Neurospora crassa OR74A: one gene and its partner. The protein of the gene in region 1 purifies or fractionates together with the protein of each later gene. This does not show direct contact. Links are inferred from orthologs where the notes say so. Each region holds a gene or a part of one and is shown in the gene's direction. Other genes may lie near its edges.

Region 1 (3,958 bases):
CCATCGGGAGAGGCCAATATTGGGTCGATGCGCGCACTGAGCTCGGCTTGGTTGAGGCGACCTACAAAAGGATGTTTGTTAGTCCCTGGGCGTGTCGAGGGCAGTCGGCCTGAAGGGAGACCAACCAAGCAGAAAGTTGCCAACGGCTTCCTTGTAAACCGTCCATTGTTCTAGACCAATGTTTGCCCTGAGAGCAGTATATATAGGTTCGAGGTCGATGCGGGCCGGGATGAGTTGGCTGGTCTTTGGCTTTTGTAATGGAGGAACGGAAACATTGATGGATTTTGTAGCAAGAATAGGAGTCGAGATGTTGACGGATGGCCGACTGAGGGCCGCGGGATTTATGTCGACCATGTTGGTAGGTGTGGCTCTTCACAGAGCGGTTGTAGATGTGTCGGTCTGGAAATGCCGTCGAGGTCGAAATCCGGGCCGGGACCGGAACCGGAACCGGAAGAGGAGGGCGGACTGTGACCTCGGCGAAGAAGGAGAAGGATGGTGCCTGGCGTCCTCCAGAAAGAACCTCAGGAGGTCGGACCACTCCCCCAAACAGAAGAAAGTTGAAGTTGATAATGGTTTCCCTTCTTCCGAGCAAGAACTCTACTCGTTGGTAATGGGCGCTTCCCTTGGAATATGAAGCCCCTGCCTGCGAATGGCGTCAGTCCCGGACAGTCGCGTGCGAAGCAACAGCACAATTGCGACGCGGGAATATGATCATCTGGGCCTGAAACCGTCGGCCAACGCTATGCAATTGCGAATCTGGGCTCAGACTGATGAATTGAGCATCCTGTCGTCGACAAGTAGATTGGTGTATCAGATCGACAAAGGCTGGTTGTTGGACGGTTGGAAGTCTGAATCGAGACCCACGGGACCTGAGTTGTCGTTCTCCTCCTCCTTTGGTGGTCACTTCGGTTTCCGGGCGGTTGTTGGGTTGTTGGACTTTGCGAGAGAGTTCTGAAAAGAGCGCTGAAAGATGCACGCTAAATCACCTAAGGTACGGGCGCAACATGGAACTACCTCTACCTACCTACCTATTGAGCGCCCGGGTACCTCTACTGCCTGCCGCCTACAACCCGGGCAGTGTACTAGTCTATTTTCCCGTTCAGTGAACTGGGAGCGCTGGAAAGAGCCGCCATGATCACCAAGTGCAACTTAGGTAGGTTCAGTACCAAGCTTCCAGGAACAAACAACAAGATCAACACCATCACCGTCTGTCGCGTCTTGTGGCGCGTCCCGTCCCCTCTCCGGCCGGCAACACCCCCCAAACCAAACCAAACCAAACCAAACCAAACCCACCTGCGCTACCACTTGGCATCATTAGGTTTGAGAAATTCGAGCAAGCAAAGGAAAGCTGAAGAACCAAGGGACGGAGACAAGGAAGATGTGATGGGCATACAACTGGACGCCGCCAATTCCACCCACCCCCAGACAATGCAACAATGGCTAGCCGACAGCAGGAACACCGAGCCCAGAAGATCTCCAGCGCCATCGACAGCCTCATAGCCCACCTGATCCCCGAAAACCCCTACGAAGACGACCAGACCGCCGAGCTTCGACACGACGACTATGCCTCGGCCGTCAAGGCCCTTCTCGAACAGTAAGGAGGCTTGCTCCAGCAACGGCGCCGGCCTGAGATAACAAAACAAACATTGCTAACTCTCTCTGCCTTTCTCCCCAAACCAGACCCTCCTCGCCAAGCTATGATGCCGACGTCAACAATGCCTCCGACTTGATCAAGAGGAAGCTGATCCAGGGAAACCCAACCCAGGCACTGCGCTTTTCCCACCTCTACACCCGACTACTCTCCCTCCCGGTGCTCAACCAAAAGTGGGCCATCCTCTACTTTCTATACCAGCTCTCGGACTCGCCAGACCCCAATGAGCCCCTCCCTTTAAGCCCGCTTGCCCGACAGCAACCTCATTTCGACCCTCAGTTCCACCCCCAGATCCAGGCGCAAACACCTCCTCAACCGTCAGCATGGCCTGCCGAACCCAGGATCCCGGCATATGACGAGGTTCAGGATGAGGAGGTCATGGAGGATGCCCCTTCTCCCGAAGGCTCTCACAATCTCCCCCCAGAAAGGCCAAGACATGGTCGAGACCAAGGTCATACGCCTGTCCAGAGTCACCAGGCTGGCCCTGCTTCAAGAGACGAAAGGGATGTGGCGCATGACCCTTCGGAGCCGGCCTTGTTGAGGGACCTGCCCTTCACCCTGCAGGGCCTTTCATCGGCAACTCTCCCCTTTCTCAACGACACAACGTTGAAGCTACCACCAACGCTTCCTATCCCCATCATCTCTCTTCTCAACACGCTGGCCGAGCCTTCGCTTCTCTACAGAGGACTAAACGAGTTTACCAAAACGCCGGCAAACGGACTACTGGGCCAGAGTCTACGGGCTGCCATCAGCAAGGAGCTTCGGTCATATTTGACTCTGGTGGCTACCCTGGAGACTCAAATTCGCCGCGCTCTCTCTGAGCTTGACGAGTCTGCTCCCCGTGGTGGCATTGGAAAAACGGGCGTTACGCTCAAGCGATGCGTGGTATGGACCCGTGAGGCTACTATGGGCTTGCGCCTCATGTCTCTGATTGCCGAGGAGAGCAAGAATAAGCATGGTGGGCAGTTGGTCACCCTGATCCACAACTTTTCGTCTTCACACGGCGATCCTGTCGTAGCTGCATTCGCTGAGCGCTTGCTTGTTGACGTGACTCGGCCATTCTACGATATCCTACGCCGCTGGATCTATGACGGAGAGCTCCTCGATCCCCATATGGAGTTTTTTGTTCGGGAACAGAACCCCCTCGATGAGGAGAGGAAAGACGCCAAAGCTAAGGGCCAAATGAGTGTCTGGAACTCCAAGTATGAGCTTGTTGAGGACATGGTCCCGAGTATTATCACACGCAACTTTGCTGACAAGGTTTTCCTCATCGGAAAGTCCCTTAACTTCATCCGCCACAGCTGCGGTGATCACAAATGGGTCGAGGACTACAGTAAAAATGCGTCCAGGGAGCTCAAATATGGTGACACAGCTACCCTGGAAGCCTGGATTGACGAGGCACACAGGGAGACAATGAGCCATCTTATGCGCCTCCTAAATGACCAATTCCGTGTCTTTGATCATCTAGAGGCGCTGAAGCGGTACATTCTGCTGGGGCAGGGTGATTTCATTGCTCTGCTGATGGAGTCGCTGGCTCCTAACCTAGATCGGCCAGCGGGCGCCCAGTATCGACATACACTCACTGCGCAGCTTGAGCATGCCATCCGAGGCTCAAACGCTCAATATGATGATCCAGAAATCACCAATCGCTTGGATGCTCGCATGCTTCAGCTTAGCCATGGTGATATCGGCTGGGACTGCTTTACGCTCGAGTACAAGATTGACGCGCCCGTGGACGTCGTTGTCACCGAGTGGGGCAATCGACAGTACCTCAAAGTCTTCAACTTCCTTTGGCGTATCAAGCGTGTCGAGTTTGCCCTGGCCTCGACCTGGCGCAAGTGCATGACTGGCGCCCGCGGCGTTCTCCAGACGTCGGACGAGACGGTGCTTCAAACATGGAAGAGCACACGGGGTGTCCTCGCCGAGATGGTCCATTTTGTCGGCCAATTACAGTACTACATCCTCTTTGAGGTTATCGAAAGCAGTTGGACCGAACTGCAAAAGAACATTCACAAGGAGAACTGCACGCTCGACGACCTAATAACTGCCCATACCAAATACCTCACATCTATCACACACAAGGGTCTCCTCGGTGCCAAACGACGACCGTACCCGCAGACAGGCGACCCTGTCTCAGCATCTTCCACGACCGACGAAGATCGCAACTCCTACATGGTCCAGCTAAGCGAGCTGCTCCGGATAATGCTCGCCTACAGAGACAGCGTAGACGGTCTCTACAGCTGGTCCGTCTCCGACTTTACGAGACGTCAGGAGAAGGAGACAGCCGGGCTGATCTACTCACACCGC
Region 2 (4,212 bases), on another chromosome or scaffold:
TCGGGTCGGGTCGGCCATGGCAGACGATGGGCGGTTGACGGTTGGTCAGCCTACCGGGGGACTGGTGAAGTATGCTGTTGCTGTTGCTGTTGCTGTTGTTGTCCTTGATGCTGGGAGATGTGGACAGTATCTTGAGAGAAGAAGGGGTAGGATCCTCGGTAGCGAAACATGCCGCGGCTCACAAGTAACGGTAGAAATGGTCACGCTCGTGGAAAGCGGGTTGACTCTCCAGGGGCTCGAAGACGGCGGTCAACTTTTTGAATAATGGGAATTGCTAATCGGAACGAGCCAACGACCGGGAAAAGAGCGGCAGAGTGGTTCCAATCGGGCCAACAAGGTCGGTGAAAGAAGATGGAGACGGTGGCGTGGCTACCTTGAACAGTATGAAGTACCTCCCAAGGTGGAAGTTCGCAGATACAGTCGGTTTTAGGGGGAGGTCGAAGTAGTGTAGAGAAAGCAAGATGAGGTGACGTTGGAGATTGAAGCAAGGTGTAAACTGTTAGAGTAGTAGTACTCTACTTACTAGTACACAGCGGGCATCCCCGTACAAGGAAAAGGTAGACGCGAAAAGGGGCAGGAGAGAGGTCAAACTTGGAAGTTGTTGTTTATTGGCCGCGCCCGTCTGTTACTGTTACTGTTACTGTTACTGTTACTACCTGTATCGTCCGGTACGGTAACTGTCCGTTGTACCTGCGTAGTAAGGTTGGAATGAGAGAACCAAGAGCAACCTGGAATAATTTGTTTTTTTCATTATTCGGTCAACTACTCTCTCCACCTCAGAGTTCTGCCTGATCTCTTGACCGTCACCTTTCTTCTACGTCAACGTTCCCCGTCATGTGGAGGGGTAAAACGTGCAAGACGCCTGCCTGCGTGTGTCGGGTGTTTGTCAAAGTGGTGAGACGAAGGATCCCGTCCCGTCACGTTGCAAGGTACTTACCTAGGTAGCGCAATGCTCCGCTACAGTAACCAAGTGGAAAGGCGCTGAAGGAGCCCCCCGTCGCACCTGGACTGCCCTGCTGGAAAATGGGGTTTTGTCATTTTAGGTTGGGGTGCTTGGACATGCAGGCATGGACGGCCCTTAACGAATTACAGAAGCTATACCCGACAGGGTTAGCAATCCCGGGTCCTGGAACTGCTAGATCCAGCCGACGGGAGCCAGCCACGAGATAGGTGGATGGAGACGATGGATCATTGGATGTCTCTGGTAGAGAGAGGTACCTCTACCGGCCCAGGTTAGGTGCCCCTCTCCGATCATGCTGCTAGCAGCTGACAGCGGGCGTCACTGTAGGTAGAGGTAGGTAGCGTTTGGTGATTTCCCGTCCCTTGTAGCGTTCGCAGGGGCACGGCAGCTACCTGGGTTCCATCTCCTCCCGTTTCTGTCGCGTCGACGCGGGAATCTTAGCGTAGTAGTGGTGGGCAACGTGCTGCAATCCAATGTGGGGAACTACCGGGCGTGCTCTGCTGACGTCCTTCCATATGTTTACCGATGTTCCCTCCGCTTTTGTCCCAATTGCAACAATTTCCGCCTGGAGGTCTCGCGCCTCGTTAATGCCACCACCATGCCCAGGTACGCGTCCCTCATCCCAGCACCCAACATATCGTGACTAACCGGCAAACAGAGAAATAATAACCATCCAGGCCGGCCAGTGCGGCAACAGCAGTGAGTGCCCAATTCAACCCGACGAGGAGGCAGTCGACCTTCACCCAGTCTTGCGCCTCGACATCCGGCAGCTGGACGCGCAGTTTCTGCTAACATTCTCAAGTCGGAAGCCAGTTCTGGCAGCAGCTTTGTCTGGAGCATGGCATCAGCCAGGACGGAACCATCGAGGACTTTGCGACCGAAGGCGGCGACCGTAAAGATGTCTTCTTTTACCAGAGCGACGATACGCGATACATTCCCCGGTCCATCCTGATCGATCTCGAACCCAGAGTCATCAATACCATCCAGACCGGACCATACCGGAACATATACAACCCAGAAAACTTCTACGTGGGCAAGAGCGGACTTGGTGCGGGTAACAACTGGGGTGATGGTTACCAAACAGGCGAGCAGGTACATGAGGAGATCATGGAGATGATTGAGCGCGAAGCCGACGGCAGCGACTCCCTCGAGGGCTTCATGATGTTACACTCCATCGCCGGCGGCACAGGATCAGGCCTGGGTTCTTTCCTACTCGAGCGACTGAACGACCGCTTCCCCAAGAAGATCATCCAGACATATTCGGTATTTCCCGACACGACCAGCGCCGGCGATGTTGTCGTGCACCCCTACAACAGTTTACTTGCCATGAGGAGGTTAACGCAAAACGCCGACTCGGTAGTGGTGCTTGACAACGGCGCCTTGTCACACATTGCCGCCGACAGACTACACGTACAAGAGCCATCCTTCCAACAGACGAATCAGCTCGTATCGACCGTCATGTCCGCCAGCACAACCACCCTTCGATACCCCGGCTACATGCACAACGACCTGGTCAGCATTCTCGCGTCCTTGATTCCGACTCCTCGATGCCACTTCTTGATGACGTCGTACACGCCCTTCACTGGCGACCAGGTAGAGCAGGCAAAGACGGTGCGCAAAACGACGGTTCTCGACGTCATGAGACGATTGCTGCAGCCCAAGAATCGCATGGTGTCTACTGTACCCGGCAAGAAGAGCTGCTACATTTCCATCCTGAACGTCATCCAGGGCGACGTGGACCCAACCGATGTGCACAAGAGTCTGCTCCGTATTAGGGAACGTCGTCTTGCTACATTCATTCCTTGGGGTCCCGCTAGCATCCAGGTGGCACTGACCAAGAGGAGTCCCTACGTGACTATGGCACATCGTGTCAGTGGTTTGATGTTGGCAAACCATACTAGTATTGCTACGGTATGTCAACTGCTGCTGTGTTGGCTAGATAGATGATCAAACTGACATTTCTTCACACAGCTCTTCAAGCGTATCGTTAGGCAGTACGATGGCATGCGGAAGCGCAACGCCTTTATGGAAGCCTACAAAAAGACGGCGCCGTTTTCTGAAAACCTCAACGAGTTTGACGAAGCCAGGGAGGTCGTCATGGACCTTATTGCCGATTACGAGGCTGCCGAAGACGCCAATTATCTCAACCCCGAGCTTGGCGAAAACGCGTCGGCTGACACGGACAAGAGAATGGCTTGAGTCTTAGCCGGACAGATGATGGCCAGCTGGGGGCCTTTTGTTTTGCGACTATACCTGGGATCCTTTAAAGACAGCTGGTATCCCTCTTTTTCTCTTCTTTTTTTTTTTTTTCTTAACTAGGCTGACGCGATATCACGACCAGATTGTTGTTCGCAGGCGTTATTGGGCGGGAGGGAAAACCAGGAGAAAGGTGTTGGCGCGCGTTTTCTGTATCGTTTGGCATGTTGTCGATAGATTGCAGCAGCTCTTTGACCACTGAGGCTATGGAAATACCACTTGTCTTCAAACCCCAAAATGCATGCACGCGCGACCTCAGCTTGGGCTTCATAAAGGACCCCAAGGTGATAAGTACTCAACCAACTGACAAGTGGCTGCGTGGTCGAGCGGCGTGGTGCGCTGAGCTCTCTTTGCACAAGGAGGGTAGTGCACCACATGCTGGGGGGGGGGCCCTCGCCGCCGTAGGTGACCCAACGGGGACCTAAATGGCGGGGGAGAACCTCCCTGGAAGCACTGTAAGCTGGCGTCTTCCGGCTATGCAAAATAGGGCTCTTCTACTCCCTTCCAGTTGAACGTGACGTCAGCCGTTCGATTCCAGCTCTTGTCCTCTCTCTTTTTTTTACTTTTTTTTTTTTACTTTTTCTGTTTCTTGGTTGTGTTTCATTGTCAGTGGGTGCTGCGATCAATATCGTTATGGTCCTCTGCAGGAAGCTATATAGATGCAGATGAAGCTATCACCACATCTTGGCACTCCTTAGCGTATTTAGACAAAATATTGAGACAGGGATGGCATTGACTGCTTTTAGTCTCAATCAGGAACCCAAGGACGGTGATAGGCGTATCTCCCTACCAACACTTCAGGGTGAAGATGACCTCATCAAGATTTGGCAAAATACATCAGATGCACTGCGCTCAATGCAGATTACCGCGAGAATTCGAGATGCACGGATTTCAAACGACATGGTCATCCAGCGCGGGAGGGGAGGAGTAGGAGTCCTTCCCAGAAGTCCCTTGAGCTTCCCTGTTGCTCCAACTTCCCCAGGAAGAAAACATGC

What was found.
Region 2: the proteins of NCU04319 (region 1) and tbg purify together in Schizosaccharomyces pombe (affinity purification with western blotting; 3 studies listed by BioGRID, with this or other methods). This does not show direct contact. The link is inferred for Neurospora crassa OR74A from reciprocal best matches to the Schizosaccharomyces pombe genes alp6 and gtb1.

Annotation. Positions count from the first base shown.
Region 1 is NC_026505.1:5,600,170-5,604,127, reverse strand, and holds the start of NCU04319 (spindle pole body component), read left to right. Parts: upstream 1-1,158; 5' UTR 1,159-1,436; coding exon 1,437-1,594; intron 1,595-1,680; coding exon 1,681-3,958. Other genes in the region: NCU04320 (transcriptional co-activator), read right to left, coding at 1-61, 126-354.
Region 2 is NC_026506.1:2,228,074-2,232,285, reverse strand, and holds tbg (tubulin gamma chain), read left to right. Parts: upstream 1-1,412; 5' UTR 1,413-1,559; coding exon 1,560-1,567; intron 1,568-1,619; coding exon 1,620-1,660; intron 1,661-1,763; coding exon 1,764-2,872; intron 2,873-2,932; coding exon 2,933-3,160; 3' UTR 3,161-3,897; downstream 3,898-4,212. Other genes in the region: NCU03955 (phospholipase D1), read right to left, coding at 1-18. UniProt on the Schizosaccharomyces pombe protein: Tubulin is the major constituent of microtubules. The gamma chain is found at microtubule organizing centers (MTOC) such as the spindle poles or the centrosome, suggesting that it is involved in the minus-end nucleation of microtubule assembly.